Oryctolagus cuniculus: one gene and its partner. The protein of the gene in region 1 purifies or fractionates together with the protein of each later gene. This does not show direct contact. Links are inferred from orthologs where the notes say so. Each region holds a gene or a part of one and is shown on either strand. Other genes may lie near its edges.

Evidence for each region.
Region 2: the proteins of RRM1 (region 1) and RRM2B purify together in Homo sapiens (affinity purification with western blotting; 3 studies listed by BioGRID and IntAct, counting the BioPlex papers as one, with this or other methods). This does not show direct contact. The link is inferred for Oryctolagus cuniculus from reciprocal best matches to the Homo sapiens genes RRM1 and RRM2B.

Annotation. Positions count from the first base shown.
Region 1 is NC_091432.1:62,776,013-62,784,235, forward strand, and holds part of RRM1 (ribonucleoside-diphosphate reductase large subunit), read right to left. Parts: intron 5,235-8,223; coding exon 5,099-5,234; intron 3,885-5,098; coding exon 3,789-3,884; intron 2,082-3,788; coding exon 1,893-2,081; intron 540-1,892; coding exon 351-539; 3' UTR 1-350. UniProt on the Homo sapiens protein: Provides the precursors necessary for DNA synthesis. Catalyzes the biosynthesis of deoxyribonucleotides from the corresponding ribonucleotides.
Region 2 is NC_091437.1:127,536,930-127,545,602, forward strand, and holds the end of RRM2B (ribonucleoside-diphosphate reductase subunit M2 B), read right to left. Parts: intron 4,422-8,673; coding exon 4,317-4,421; intron 1,276-4,316; coding exon 1,162-1,275; intron 845-1,161; coding exon 644-844; 3' UTR 539-643; downstream 1-538.

The DNA of each region.
Region 1 (8,223 bases):
AGTTTTGATTCTAAGGACTCGCCAAAGTTGAAAAACTAAGTCTTCTTACCAAAATGGAACTCATCAGAAAAGTAGTGCTGGAGAAGTGATGAAACCTTACTTACTTATTCTCTATTTGCAAGATGACTTCTTTCGCATACCTAAAACTTCTAGTTTGATTCCTGATATGTCAATTTTTTTTTAAATCATTACCTTCATCCTATGTAGAAACAGTACTTTAAATCAATTATTCCTTTTGCTGTAATAAGGCCCAACAACACCTTACCACCTCAAGCAAATCTACTATGCCTATTTATGCTCAAGAAGTAGCTTGGCTATCAAACACATACTGGTCTTTTTTGTGCCTTTCCTCAGGATCCACACATCAGACACTCATCTCTATTCTCCAAAGAGCACACCATAGCTGCTGTGTTCCTCTCCTTCTCTTCTTCCTCTTTTGATGCTTTTTCCTTATCTTTGAGTTTCTCTTTATTTAGCGTGAACTGGATTGGATTAGCTGCTGGTCTTGTCCTTAAATAATACATTCCAGTCTTCAAACCCTACAAGTGAAGTAAATACAAATATTAGATCTGTGAAAACTCTAGATATGCAACACTAATGTTTAGAAGACATTCCCATAAATCGGGTCAAATTATTTCCTGAATGTACAATTACAGCTCTTCTAGGAAATATTCTCAAAAATGCTTAGATAGTTGGACAGCTTACGATCTGTTCTTTTCACCCCTAAAACATGTTTATCTCTTTGGAAAAGTCAAGTATTTTTGTTCTCATCTTTATTTGTATGTGTATGACTTCCAAGTTTGCCGAAGACTATTGCCTTAATGTCTGCCTTAAATTGTTTAACTATTTACAGGGTTAGACTGTGTCTCTGTGTAACACTAGACTACGACTATTTCAAGGGTAAGAATCATCACCTTCTCTTTAGCGTACCCAGGCCTGACACATGGTAGATGTTTTATATACACATGTTAATTTTTTAAAAAGATTTATAATTCTACATCAATATTCATCACATGGCTACAGAAGAGGAATACAATCTAGAATCCCAGGACTCTGAAGTTGGTGATGACTAGGTTAATTAACTTGGCCTTTACACTGTAGATAAAGTGAGGAAACATTGGATGCTGAGAAAAAGCAAATTGGATATGTACAATGTTTTATTTTAGGGATTCATTGCAGAAGACAACCTGAAAAGTTAATATAGCAAAGAGATCAGTTAATATTGACAGAAGAATAGGAATGAATAATCTGAACAAACAGTACAGGGGCTGGCGCTGTGCCAGAGCAGGTAAAGCTACCACCTGCAGTGCTGGCATCCCATATGGGTGACAGTTCGAGACCCGGCTGCTCCTCTCCTGATTCAGCTCTGTATGGCCTGGGAAAGCAGCAGAAGATGGCCTCAGTCCTTGGGCCCCTGCACCCACACTGGAGATCTGGAAGAAGCTCCTGGCTCCTGGCTTCGGACTGGCCCAGCTCTGGCCATTGCGGCCATCTGGGGAGTGAGCCAGAGGATGGAAAACCTCTCTCTTTGCTCTGCCTCTCTGTAACTCGGCCTTTCAAATAAATAAATAAATCTTAAAAAAGAGAAGAAACAGTACAAAGGAACAACCAACTCAGCTTAGTAAGTAACTGCATGGAGAGCAAAGAAAGAGAGGATCATACATAACTTTAAGTGTCTAAAAACCTAGGAATTAAATAATACTAACAGAAACCAGAAAAGCTAAAGCAAGAGTCTGATCTTAACAAAAATGATAGGTTAGTATTAACACATTGAATTTTAAGTCAAAGAAAAACTTCTAGATGACAACATTTAACAGGTAACTAGAACACAAAACTGTTCCAATTCCAAAATATCCCAGGTTGACAATTAACCCTTGATTTCCTCTACAAACCTGCTTCCAGCCATAGAAGTGCATACTAGTGAGTTTGCCATAGTTAGGCTCAGCAATATGGATGTTCAAAGACTGGCTTTGATCAATGAAAGCACCTCTCTCAGCTGCCATCTTGAGTACAGTTTTCTGAGAGATTTCCCATACAGTCTTATAAAGTTGCTTCAGGTCATCAGGAATTTCTGGTATGCTCTAAAGAAAGGAAACCAAATATTCATTCTACTCCACTTCAGGAAAGCAGTATGATTAACAGAATAGTGATACAAAGGTCTAGTCTGTCTGCCAAATCTGACTCTATCATACATGATCTTGCCAAGTTTGCCAATAAAAGTCCAACAAAACCCCATCTGAGGAACCAAATATCAATCTGGTGGTAGTAATTTAAGCATCCCTCTATAATTGGCTTATGATCAAAACATTCATTATTCATTATTAAGAAAGGAAAGTAACAGCTAAGCAGCATAAATCACCCTTGAGTTTTGCAAAATACACAAATAATCAGGACTGTAACTCACAGGGACATAATCAGGGAAAAAATGAGGCAAGCCCACTTAAAGACAGGACTTTACAAACTCTATTTGTGCCCAAAGAAACCAGGTTTTCTTGGGTCATGGTTAACCTGAAAACACACAGACTAGGGTCCAGTGCTGTGGGTGTAGCAGGTAAAGCCACTGCCTGCAGTGCCTCTATCCTATATGGGCACTAGTTCAAGTCTCAGCTGCTCCACTTCGATTCAGCTCCCTGCTATGGCCTGGGAAAGCAGCAAGATGGCTCAAATGCTTGGGTCCCTGCACCCGCATGGGAGACCTGGAAGAAGCTCCTGGCTCCTGGCTTTGGATCAGCCCTGGTCTGGCCAATGTGGCCATTTAGGGAGTAAACCAGCAGTTGGAAGTCCTCTCTCTCTCTCTCTGCCTCTCCTTATCTCTGTGTAACTCTGACTATCAAATAAATAAATAAGTCTTTTAAAAAAATAAGTAAACCTTTAAAAAAAAAAAAAGACTAGATAATGCTACAGCTTTTGTCATCAAATACAGAAATGTTACAGGACTCTATGTTGCCAAGTACACCAATGTTTAGCCTATGTCTTCTATCTACAAATGAACGTTTGTTCAACCTCAACTTCATTTGATTATTATATATTATTTGTAATTCTGTCTTTTGGATTATAGTCCTCAGCCTCTATCATACTTTTAAATTAAGTTTAACTCTCTAATTTCAGTGGCCCTCAAATTTTGATACATTTTTAAATCACCTAAGGAAACTTTAAAATATATTGATAATGTCTGGCTCCCACTTTCAGACATTCTTAGATGGCAAGGAATACAATCTAAATTTCAGGATTTTCAAAGTTCCCCAATTATGCAGACATGCTGGGAACCACTGCTTTACATTCTTGAACAAGACTTGTTGTAAGAGGTGTATAATCCTAGCACACCAATGCAGAGGTGAACAGAGCTACATGAATCACAGCCTACAGATCCATAATGAATAGCTATTTTTTCCTCTCTCCATTTTCTGGGATAAGTGAGGAGGCACCACAATGTCCAACTCAGCTCCTGAAGAGCACACTTCATGGGTTGGTGCTGTGGTGTAGGAGGTAAAGCTGATGCCTGTGGTGCTACCATGTGGCTCCACTTCCAATCCAGCTTCCTGCTAATGCACCTGGGAAAGCTGCAGAAGATGGCCAAAATGATTGGGCCCCTGCACCCACATGGCAGACCCAGAGGAAGCACCTGGCTTCAGATCAACCCAGCTCTGACCGCTGCAGCCACGGGAGTGAACCAGTGGATGGATAATGTCTCTTTGTCTCTCCCTCTCTATATAACTCTGCCTTTAAAATAAATGAATAAACCTAAAAAAAGGGAAAAAAAAAAAGCACACTTCATTTTCTTGCTATACCTGGATAGAGCCATTGCACGCAATAATCTGGTTTTTCATCTCTTCATTCCACAAGCCCCTCTCAGTAAGATCTTTCAATAAGTGAGGATTTACAATCTGAATGGAAAAACAGAAAAAATGTAAAGAAATAACAATGACAGGGCTCACATAGACTCACAGGCCTGGAGCTTTACATAAATAAGATCACCAAAGAATTACTTAACATTAGATTGCTTAGTAAATTCATTTAGCTATATTCATTTAAAATCCTAACATCTGTTATTAAAGAAACAATATATTATGGTAAATACATTATAATGTCTGTATATATTAATATTAAAACATCTTATTGTACATCTTGGATATATACAATTTTTGTCAACTATACCTCAATAAAGTTGGAAGAAACTTAATTACAATAAGAAATATGACATTTACCTAAACTGGGTAAATCTATATGGATTAATTCTTTGTTTTTTCTAAGTAAAGATAAAATAAATACTTAAGTTAAAAAAATTAGAGGAGTCGGAGTTTAGTCTCACAGTTAAGACACTAGTTAAGAGTTGGCATCCCACACTGGAGTTCAAAACCCTACTCTGGCTCTTGATTCCAGCTTCCTGCTCATACAGTCTCTGTTAGACAGGCAGAAGTGATGGCTCAAGTAACTGGGTTTGTCATCCTGTGGGAAACCTGGATTGAGTTCCTGGCTCCTGGTCTTAGATAGTTTTCAGGGCACTTAAGGAGTGAACCAGCAAAGGGACACTCTCTCTCCCTATTTATCTGACTCTCCGTCTCTCAAATTCAAAAATAAACAAATTACTTAGAAATATATCTTCCCAAAATCTTATAAAATTTTACTTTAGGATATCTGGAAAATCATAAATGAAAATCTCTAAATTAGTGATCCTTTTTTTCAGGATATCTGGAAATTCATAAATGAAAAAAACCTCTAAATTAGTGAATTTCACCAGAAATGCAAGGTGGTAATCAAGTCTGAGAATCACTATCTTAGATAGTACTTCCATATACCCCAAATCAATCATCAGAGGCCACAGGAATCACTGATTATATAACGGTTAAATATCACATGAACTCTAATATCAACAAGGTACTTTCATATTGAACCCCCATTTATTCTTTCAACAGATATTTATTAAATGTCTATTATGTGCTGAAATAACAGAACAATTTTAGAGATGAAGATGACTCTCTTTTCAAAGTTTTGTCCCCAAAGTAAGTAAAGTTTTACAAAGTAAAAAATGAGTGAGTATTTATGCCCAACATTAAGCTTTTGAAAGATCTCCCTGTCAATCTGGTTGTGAACTTCTCACCTGAAATTCTCCTGACAAGACTCTGCGAGTATAGATGTTGCTAGTGTACGGTTCAATGGATTCATTATTCCCCAGGATCTGAGCAGTTGAAGCAGTTGGCATCGGGGCAAGAAGTAAACTGTTTCTTATACCATACCTAAGGATAAGGAGATTGTTAGTTGCTTGTTCTAAAGCTACAATCAACCAGGGAGGCAGTTACTTAAAGTCACTGGGAGTAACACCATGAATATATGCTATAACTCTTATGCTGACTTCTGAATTAAATTCCTATAGGGAGGAGCCAGCGCTGTGGCTTAGCAGGTTAAATTGCTGCCTATAGTGCCGGCATCCCATATAGACGCCAGTTCAAGTCCAGGCTGCTCCATTTCTGATCCAGCCCTCTGCTATGGCCTGAGAAAGCAGTAGAAGATGGCCCAAGTGCTCGGGCCTCTGCACCCGCATGGGGGACCCAGAGGATGCTCCTAGCTCCAAGCTTTGGATCGGCCATCTGGGGAGTGAACCAGCTGATGGAAGACCTGTCTGTCTCTGTGTCTCTCTCTCTGCCTTTCAAATAAAATAAATAAATCTTAAAATAAAAACAATTCCTATAGAAATTCAAGGCCTCTATGAATGCTGCAGCTCACCCCTTTCTTAAATGCCTGACTCCTACACAGAATTAGCAACACGTTAACTGTTGGCAATCCTAACCAGGTAACAATTTATACTACTTGCACTATAGCACATAGGATTCACAACACTGGATACAATATTTTGCACAGGGAAATACTCAATCACTGCTGAAGAGTTCCCTGCATGTTTCAAGGTATCTGGTTCAACCCTCACTCTTCTAAGGGCCTATATGAATCACTAAACTAGGCCTCTTCAGTAAAAATAATATTGCGAAAGTGGTTAAATTAAGACATATCACTACTTCCTCCGCCTAGCGGCGCCGGCACACCGGGTTCTAGTCCCGGTTGGGGCACCGGATTCTGTCCCGGTTGCCCCTCTTCCAGGCCAGCTCTCTGCTGTGGCCAGGGAGTGCAGTGGAGGATGGCCCAGGTGCTTGGGCCCTGCACCCCATGGGAGACCAGGAAAAGCACCTGGCTCCTGGCTCCTGCCATCGGATCAGCGCGGTGCGCTGGCCGCAGCGCGCCAGCCGCGGCGGCCATTAGAGGGTGAACCAACGGCAAAGGAAGACCTTTCTCTCTGTCTCTCTCTCTCACTGTCCACTCTGCCTGTCCAAAAAAAAAAAAAAGACATATCACTACAATTCTCATTCTCTATTATATTATGAAAAGGGAAAAATCATAGTATGAGGGTACTTCAAAAAATTTACAGACAATGGAATTAAAGTTTGTTTTGATGCAAAAAAAATTTGAAATTCATGATATCAGGGGTCTTCAAAGTTTATGAAAATCCATACTATGAAAACTATGCCTAAATTTCAAACTTTTTGCACCAAAATAAACTTATCTTCTAATTCGATTGTCCATATACTTTTGAAGTACCCTCATATACTCCTAGCTTCATCTATTACATTTTCAATTGTAAGTTCCTAGAAGGTTAACATCTTTTGAATAGTGCCAAAAAGAGTTCTTAACAAAGAATATACTATGTGACACACAGAAATTTCCACACTGCTCCAAGCTTATTCTTCAAAGCTCAGCGTGAGATTCCAATTCTGTAACATCTTCTCTGCCCAGACAGGCAATAAACACAAGTATCAAATACAAATAACTGCTCTGAAAACATTTTCTAAAACCTGTACCTTTATTATATTTTACTTCATATATCTTACTGCACTTAGTCTTAGGTTCTTGAGACTACATACAAACAGTATGTTTTCCTATTTTCTACCTATAGATTCATATACTGCTTAGAACAGAGCCAGAGGTCTTGACAGTGTTTGTACAACTGGGTTCTCAACTTCACATTGTCACTTTCTAGTTGCGAGGCCTCAAGCAAACCACCAGCTATAATTCCTCATCTGTAAAACAGCAACATCTTCTGTCTACAGACAGGAAAATGCTGTGATAAATCAAATGTGTGTTTCAATTTATCTGTAAATGTTCTGGATAAAGTCTAGAGAAACACACACTACTAACAAGGTTCATCATTGGGAAAAACACTGAGTTAAGTTTTTTGTTTTGTGGGACAAGTGGCTGGCAGAGATTATGAAGAAGGGCATAGAATTTAAACTCTACTAACAATGAGTGAATATAATGAATGAATAAATATCATTAATATATTAATTTTTAAATTCAAAAAGTCATGGGGGTGGGCATTTTGGCACAGTGGATCAGCTGCTGCTTGGGACACCTGCATCCCATATCAGAGTGCTGTGTCTGTGTCCTGATCCAGTTTCCTGCTACTGTGTATCCTGGGAGGCAGCAAGTGATGGCTCAAGAGCTCAGGCCCCTGCCACTACATAGGTGACTCAGACCAGATGGAGTTCTGGGCTTCTGGGTTTGGCCTGGTCCAGCCCTGGCTACTATGGGCATTTGGTGAGTGAACCAGTGGATGGAAGAATTTTTTTAAAGACTTATTTATTTACTTGAGAGGCAGAGTAACAGAGAGAGGGAGAGACAGAAAGAATGGTCTTCCACCCACTGGTTCACTCCCCAAATGGCCACTACAGACAGAACTGGGCTGATCTGAAGCCAGGAGCCAAGTGCTTCTTCCGGGTCTCCCACGTGGGTGCAGGGATCCAAGCACTTGGGGCATCTTATACTGCTTTCCCCCAGGCCATCAGCAGGGAGCTGGCTTGGAAGACGAGCAGCTGGAACCTGAATTTCCACCTATATAGGATGCCTGCCCAACAGGCAGATGCTTAACCTACTATGCCACAGTGCTGGCTCCCAGATGGAAGATCTTGGTGTTTCTCTTTTTCTCTGCCTTTCAAACAAATGAAAATAAAATAAACACTTTCACATATAAAATGCAGTACATATCCTTTTTTGTTAAAGTTGAATTTGCATGTAATATGCACATACACACACCCTCATAAGAAAATTTGAAGGCTGACAAACACAAAGATGCAATCAGGTATTCAGGTGTGGTGGTATCAGAAAAGTATTCATTCTCCTCCTCTTCCCATGTGTATTTTCCTAAACTTTCTAAGGTGTATTATTAAATTAACAGAAACA
Region 2 (8,673 bases), on another chromosome or scaffold:
TGTCTCTCTCTGCCTCTATTTCTCTCTCTGTGTAACTCTGATGTTCAAATAAATAAATAACTTTTAAACAAAAAAGCTTTAGAGATATATGACTATCTCCAAAGGAAAAGTTCATATGCTGTATATGGCGGAGTTCTGGAACTCAGTGAAATTGTTAGAAACTATGTGTTAAGAATGACTGAAAATCTGAACTACATTTTACAAGATACAATGGAAAGAGCTCTGGGCCAACAGCCATAGAATCACTGGATTTCGGAACAATAGATCTTTCAGAAAAATCAGATCCCAATCATGTGCAGCACAGGCAAGGAAATCAAGACCAAATTGAATTAAGTAGCTTGTGCCTGAAACCTAAGAGCACTCAAATGCATACTGACTAATCTCAAAGCCAAAGAGAAGCTGATGACATCATTAATGTGAGTCCTATTTAAGAATCTGTAAAATTTAAATAATCTGTTTAGCGAAACATATCATAGCAATAATTCTTTTCCTAGCTCCTTGGGTTTAAAGTTCAGTTCAAATATTTTAAATTGCCATCTTTTTTTTTTAACACATTTATTTATTTATTTATTTATTTACTTGAGAGGTAGAGTTACAGACAGAGAGAGAAAGAGACAGAGAAAAAGGTCTTCCATCCGCTGGTTCACTCCCCAAACAGCTGTAATAGCTGGAGCTGGGCCAGTCTGAAGCCAGGAGTCAGGAGCTTCTTCCGGGCCTCCAACATGGGTGCAGGGCCATCTTCTATTGCTTTCCCAGGCCACAGCAGAGAGTTGGATCGATTCTGTCTTGTTTTCTTACGCACACATTCAAGGCCATAATTGCCGAGGATCTCTCTAACTGTATTCTAAAGGTTCCGATATATAGTAAGACCACTGTAATTTAGTTTATACTTTCAGTAAGTTATATTTTATTTTTAATCTCATTTTAAAGGTTTTCTCAACTTCTAAGTAGTCTAAATTTGGCAATTTTGCTATGAATTTCTAATTTTATGACATTAAAATAAACCTTTTAAAAACAACAAAAAGAAATAAATGAGTAAAAAATTAATGTTAAAAAATTATATGTAAAAAAGTACTGCAAATGCTTTTTGTAAAATATATCCTAGGGGTATTACCTGGCTATAACATTTAATTAGTAGTAACACAGTTATAAAAATCTTACCTTTGAGAATCCAAGTTCCATGAGTAACCTGTCAGCTACAAACTCAATGTACTGCTTCATCAAAATACAGTTCATTCCAATGAGGCCAACCGGCAAGGCTTCTGTTAAAAACTCCTGAAAGGGAAACAAAAACAGAGTAAAGTATAGAGATAAAAAAATAATAAGTACGCATTTTCCAAAAAGAAAGATTTTGCTTTTATTTTCTAAGACACTGATCTTGTTCAAGGAAAGCACTATGGATAAACTGTTTCGATGTGGCACATGAGGTCCATTTGCTTAAAAATATATGGGATATTACTATGCATATTCTTTCACATTCTCAAAGAGCCAAAATAAATAGAAACTACCGAATTACTGGATTTTTAAAAGTAGTGCATGTAGGACCTGGATTCATTTTTTTTTTCATTAGAAAAAGATGTTTTATCTTGAAAAATTTACAAAGATTCACTAAAGTTCATCAGCATGGGGAACATCACTAAGGAAAGGAGTTGAGAAAGCTCAATTAACAAAGACAGGACCAAAATAAACAAACAAAAAGAGCAGATCTGGGGGTTGGGAGGTAAATGAAACTCCAACTACCCTGAAAGACAGTGATAAAGTGTTAATAGAGGAAAAATAAAACCATATTAATTATTTGGATTTAGTTTTTAAAACAATTAAAGATTCCAAAATGTATCTTATGCCATTCCCCCATCAATATGAAAAACAATGCAGTAATGTTAAACTATGCAGTGTTTAAAAAATATTCTATTTCCAAACTAGTACTTTAGAATGATTAAAAACACAACCTGAGTAGAGCACCTAGCCCTTTCTAGTCACTAATCCAGTTACTTATTTGTTCTTTTTTTTTTTTTAAAGGTTTATTTATTTGTTTGAAAGGCAGAGCTATAGAGAGGCAGAGGCAGAGAGAGAGAAAGAGACAGAGAATCTTCCATCTGCTGGTTCATTCCCCAATTGGCCAAAAAGCTGGAGCCATGCTGATCTGAAGCCAGGAGCCAGGAGCTTCTTCCAAGTCTCCCACGTGGGTGCAAGGGGCCCATCGTGGACTTGGGCCATCTTCTATAGTTTTCCTAGGCCATAGAAGAGAGCTGGATGGGAAGTGGAGCAGCTGGGTCTCAAATTGGCACCCATATGGGATGCTGGCACTGCAGGCAGCGGCTTTACCACTACACCACAGCGCCAGCCCCTACTTATTTGTTCTGTAAACATTTTGTGCATGCTTCAGCTAGGTACCTGTTAGGTTACTGAGAATACAAAATAAACAAGCAAAAATATCACTGCCCTCTATTAGCTAAAAACCTAAAAATGTAAAGATACAATAAAGTTTGTTATGGCATGAAATTTGACAGATAGATCAACGAGACAGAAAAACAGGCCTGGGACAGATTTTAGTGTACTTAAAACCTTAATATAATCATATAATAGACTGACTTATAAAAAATTATCTCAAAAATAAATAAATAAAATATAAAGTTTGGGAAAAAAGGCTGACTTACAAACCAAATTATAAACTGACTTACAGTAATTGCAATACATCACATATTCGTACCATCAAGGCTAACCATATAAAATTGCCAGTTTCCCCTTTAGTTTCCCCATGGAAAAGTAATGCTGCTTGCTCACTGCCCCGACCTGCAAGCAGCAGGCCCACGAGTTTCAGTACCCATTTGGACTTTCACAGAGGTGTCAGCATCGAAAGCTACCAGTTTGTGGTACTGTCATCCGGTATGTGCAAGGTACTGGCACCATCTTCATCAGGTGATGGCCTGGAGGCGAGGCCACCAGAAGGCGTTCCTATTTCAGTTCCCTGTGGTACTTTGCTCCTGGGTTTCAGCCACAAAGCACCAATGACAGTGAGGCTGAGTGTCCTCAGCTCTTGTGTGACCATCGAATGGCCTCACAGGACTTCCATGGCACTTACTCACATTGTACAAGGTGTGGGCAGCTTCCACATGACAGTCGTGGGATCCAGCTGCCTAAAAGGACCAAGGGGCTGAGGCCATGGCCCAGTGGGTAAAGCTGAAGCCTGTGGCGCCAGCATCCCATATGGATGCCAGTTCAAGTCCCAGCTGCTTCACTTCCGATCCAGCTTTCTGCCAATGCCTGGGAAAGCAGCAGAAGATGGTCCAAGTGCTTGGGCCTCTGCAACCACCTGGGAGACTAGAAGAAGCTCCTGGCTCCTGGCTTTGGACTGGCACAGCTCTGGCCAATGCAGCCAGTTGGGGAGTGAACCAGTGGATGCAAGACCTTTCTCTTTCTCCACCTCTCAAATAAATAAATAAATAAACGAATAAATAAATAAATAAATCAGGAGGAAGAGAAGGGGGGGAGGGAGGGAGAAAGGAAGGAAAAGGCCAAACTCCACCCAAAGAGGAGGAGGCAGCGATGGAGTCAGCCAGATGGGGAGGTGGAATGCAACCTGAGCAGTATGGAAATCACCGAGGAGCTGGCCACACTTCCACTGAGCAGCACAGAGAAGAGCGACGGCGTGGCAGCAGCTGGTCCCGGCACGCCCAGATGACTACAAGTGCACCAACCACCAGCTACGCAACAACACCCATGGGTTGGTAGGGCCCCCTACCGAGAGGCCTGGCCGCAATGCAGCTCCTGTACAGGGAGCACACTGCCAAGATCCGAGCCATGGAGGCTGTGGTACCACTGAGCTTCGACAAGCACTGTGCAGGAAGCTGCCTGAGTACTGGCCCCACGGTCCCTGCACGTTCTAAGCCCCGGCTCAGGGATCCCAGGGGATGCTTTCTGAACAGGGTCCCCAGTCTCACCCCCCTCCTTTCGAGTAGCCTCTCTTCAACTCAGCTTCTAGACATTCTCGGGGAAAGAGGCATTAGACTGAGTACAAGCAGGTTCACCAAAGTCCCCGCGAGCCATCAGCAGGGGACTGTAACCCCGAGAGAGTCAGCAGGAGTATACTGTGGCCAACTGGAGAATTGCTCTCTCGACATAGAGCAGTACTTCTACATAACAAGGACTTTTGACATTGTCCATAACAGTATTCATTCATTAAAGGGCTTGCCCAGAAAAAAATAAAATAAAATTGCTACAAAATGACAATTTCCTGATTAACCTAACACAATGGTACAAATATCAGGGGAAAAACAAACAAACAAAAACGTGCTACCTGCAGGGACTTTGCTTACCTGCTCAATTTCGACAGCATTAACAATGATCTCTCTGACCCTCTCTTCTGAAGGCTTATTTACTAAATACTGAAACATCAGGCAAGCAAAGTCACAGTGAAGTCCCTAAAACAGAAAACAAATGACACTGCCAATGAACTTTTAACCATCCATTTGCACACAATCATGTATAGAACATTATAAAAATTTGTTTCTAGGAATGTGTCATAGAATTTCTTAAAATGAAACAAGAATTAATAGGGTTAAGAACTTATTTCCTTCAAATATCATTAAATGCCAACCTAATGCCAACAAATCTTGGTTCATCAATATTAAAGAAGAATTAACTTACAAACAAAAACCTACAAACAAAAGCATTTTGAAAAGGAAAACAAAGAAAGAAGAGCCAAAATAAAAACTCATCAATTTTTTTAAAAGATTTATTTTTTTTATTTTTGAAACTCAGAGTTACAGAGAGAAAAAGAGAGACAAAGAGAGTGAGTTCTTCCATTCACTGGTTCACTCCTCAGACGGCCACAACAGCCAGCACTGGGCCAGGCTGAAGGAAGGAGCCAGGTGCTTCACCCAGGTCTCACGCATGGGTGGCAGAGGCCCAAACACTTGGGCTATCTTCTACTTTTCCCAGGCCATTAGTAGGGAGTTGGATCAGAAGTGGAGCAGCAGGGACATGAACCAGTACCCTGGTAGGATGCCCGTGACACAGGTGGCAGCTTTACTCATTATACCACAATGGGGGTCCCAAAAACTCATCAATTTTTAAATGCCAAAAAAATTAAAGAATGACTGACAAATATTAGGTAGTATTAAAAGGACAGAGATTTTTTTAAAAAGGTCAGAGATTTTAAAAAGATAGTATTTATATTAAATAAGAATAGCTCAAGATAAAAATGAATTCAGCACCATCTGAGTCCATATACAACAGACATGGCATTGCAGACAACTCAGCCACAAAGACCCCTGAGAAAAAAATAGTGATGCAAATTTAATAAATGCTACAGAATATTAAGTAACTAGAAAACAGGCCAGGCAGATTCAACCTACAGTAACCAGGACTCCAAAGCATAGAACAGATGATATAAAGCTGAAAATCAAAAGGACAGAAGAAAATTTTCAAAAATTCAAAACAAAAAAGATAATGAGGCCAGATATAAGATGATGGGATTCCCAAGAAAATTAACATAGACTCACGTCATGGTAGAGTTAATTAATATTTCTGAACTACAAAGAAAAACAAATCCTTTTATAGGTAACCAAAGGGAAGAGTGCGGAAAGTACAGTTTAAAGGATCACAAATCAGAATTACTTGGGTTTTTCTAAATGAATTAACAAAAACCAAAAGAGGATTCAAAGAGAAGATCCTCAAATTAAAGATTGTATTGAAAAGATTATTTACCTAAAATTCATTTTAAAAAACTCTCTTTGAACAGCTAATGCAAAAAAGTTTGCTAATGAACCATTTTTCCAAGATTTGTCTCCAGGGTACAATTCAAATTACCAACGGCAGAATGTCAAATAAACCGCTGAAAGATGTTAAAGAAAGTGTTGATTAGAATCAACAGAGAGAGGCCAGCAGTGTGGCGCAGCAGGTAAAGCCACCGCCTGCAGTGCCGGCACCCCATATGGGCACTGGTTCCAGTCCCGGCTGCTCCACTTCTGATCCAGCTCTCTGCTATGGTCTGGAAAGCAGTAGAAGATGGTCCAATGCCTTGGGCACGGGCACCTGCACCTGCGTGAGAGACCCGGCGGAAGCTCCTGGCTCCTGGCTTTGGATCAGCACAGCTCCGGCTGTTGCAGTCAAAGTGAACCAGCGGATGGAAGATCTCTCTCTCTCTCTCTGCCTCTCCTCTCTCTGTGTAACTCTGACTTTCAAATAAATAAATCTTTAAAAGAAAAAAAAAAGAATCAACAGAGAGCTACCTAATCCACAGAAAAGGTAGGCATGAATCATTGTTAAATCAATAAATGAATAAAATTAATTTAAGTTTTAAAGAATTTTCAATCAAAACCTCAGTAAGATTGTTTTTGATTCAAAAATCAAACTGGAATAATAATTGAGCAGAACCTTGTAGGAACAATTTAAAAAGGAAAGTTTTGAAATTTATCCTAACAATTATTAAAACATAAAACTGCAGCAATTAAAATAGTTTGTTACAGCACAAAATCTGACAGGCCACGAGGCAGGAGAAATAGCATATAACAGATTTTAGAACAGTAAGACTTTTACATTTAATAAAGAGGACAGTGCAGGGACCAGTGTGGTGGTGCAATGGGTTAAGCCTCTGCCTGCAAAGCCAGTACACATATGGGCACCATTTGAGTCTTGGCTGCTCCATTTCCAATCCAGCTCCCTGATAATGCACCAGGAAAAGCAGCAAAAGATGGCCCAAGTTGTTGGGCCCCTGCACCAACATGGGAGACCTGGATGGAGTTTCTGGCTCCTGGCTTCAGCTTGGCCCAGTGCTGGCTGCTGAAGCCACTTGGGGAGTGAACCAGCATATGGAAGATCTGTGTGTGTATGCATGTGTGCATGCGTGTGTGTGTGTGTGTGTGTGTGTGTGTCCCTCTCTCTTAGAAATAAGTTGAGGAGTCAAGATCATTAGTACAATCAATGTGAACTGATTGGCTGTAATGGGCTAAACCAATGAGAACAGAAAGGTAAGATAGACCAAGTCTCTGCTCTGAGGAGCACAGGATCTAGCAAAGAGGAGAGCAAGCGAACTGCAATATATATCATGGGCTAAAGAGTTTTCATTTTCAATCAGAAACATAAAAGAAAGAGTGGGGCATTTTATCTACTTGTGTCTGAAGAGTTCTGAATTGCCTTTCGTGGGGAAAAATGAAGGGAAGACAGGGAGGGCACGCGGCAGCGAGCATGCTGTGCACTGCATGTGGTCTGTCTGCCACAGGTTCCTGCGCTGGAGGCTGGGTGCCCAGTGTGGTGATGTGCAGGCGGTGGAACCTTTGAGAGATGCGGCCTAGTGGAAGGTAATTAGGTCATGGAGGTCCCACACTCATGAATGGATTAGTGCTGTCTGGCAGAAGTGGGTCAGGTCTCCGTGACTGAAACAGTTAACTAAAGAGCATGCTGTGAAACTGTAAAGCCATCCTGCGTGCTTGGTTTCCTCTGCACATGGCGGTTCCCTTTCTGCTCCTCCACAAGCAAGGGAGGTCCTTGCTGCAGGCTGGCACCAGGCTGTGTGGACTCCCAGGCACCAAAATCATAAGCCAAATAAACCTCTTGTAATATATATTACCCAACCTTGAGTGTTCTGTTATAGCAACACAAAATGGATTAACACAGGAAACAATATTTAGTTATTGATGGATGTGGCTGAAAAAGAAAAGAAGTGGAGCCAGTGCACCAGGTAAAGCCACCGCCTGTTAGGCCAGCATCCCATATGAGTGCTGGTGCATATCCTGGCTGCTCCACTTCCAAATTAATAGCCTGAGAAAAGCAGCAGCAGATGGCCCAAGTGCTGGGGCCTCTGACATCCACATGGGAAACCTGGATGAAGTTCCTGGCTTCTGGCTTTGGCCTGGTCCAGCCCTAGCCATTGTGGCCATCTGGGGAGTGAACCAGCAGATGAAGATCTGTCTGTCCCTTTCTCTGTAACTCTTTCAAATACATAAATAAATATTTCTTTTTTAAAAAAAAAAGGACCAATCTATTTTTCTCCCTCTCTTTTTTTAGAAACATTCTATTTAGTAAGTATAAATTTTATGAGTACATCTTTAAGAATACAGTGATTCTTCCCACCATACCTGCCCTCCTAGCCCTACTTCCTCCTCCCTTTCCCATTTACAGTCTCATTCTCCATTCATTTTCGATTAACTTTATACACAGAAGACCAACTCTATACTAAGTAAAGATTTCAACTATTTGCATGCACACACACATACACACAAATATAAAAACTGCTTGAGAAGAAGTTTTACAGTTAAATCTCATAGTATGATTCATTGAGGACAGAGGTCCTGCATGGGGAGTAAGTGCGCAGTGACTCCTGCTGTTAATTTAACAATTAACAATCTTATGTATGATGTCAGTGACCACCCAAGGCTCTTGCCATGAGCTGCCTAGGCTATGGAAACCTTTTGAGTCCACAAACTTCGTCAGTATTTAGGCAGGGCCATACGCAAAGTGGAAGTTCTCTCCTCCCTTCAGAGAAAAGTACCTCCTTCTTTGATGGCCACTTCTTTCCACTGGGGTCTCATTCACGGAGATCCTTCCTGGAGGACATTTTTTTTGGCCACAGTATCTTGGCTTTCCATTAAAGAACCAATCTAAAACGACTCCCAGATTTCAAACTGGATGACTGGATAAATGAATAATCCCAAGAGACAGGGAAAACAGAAG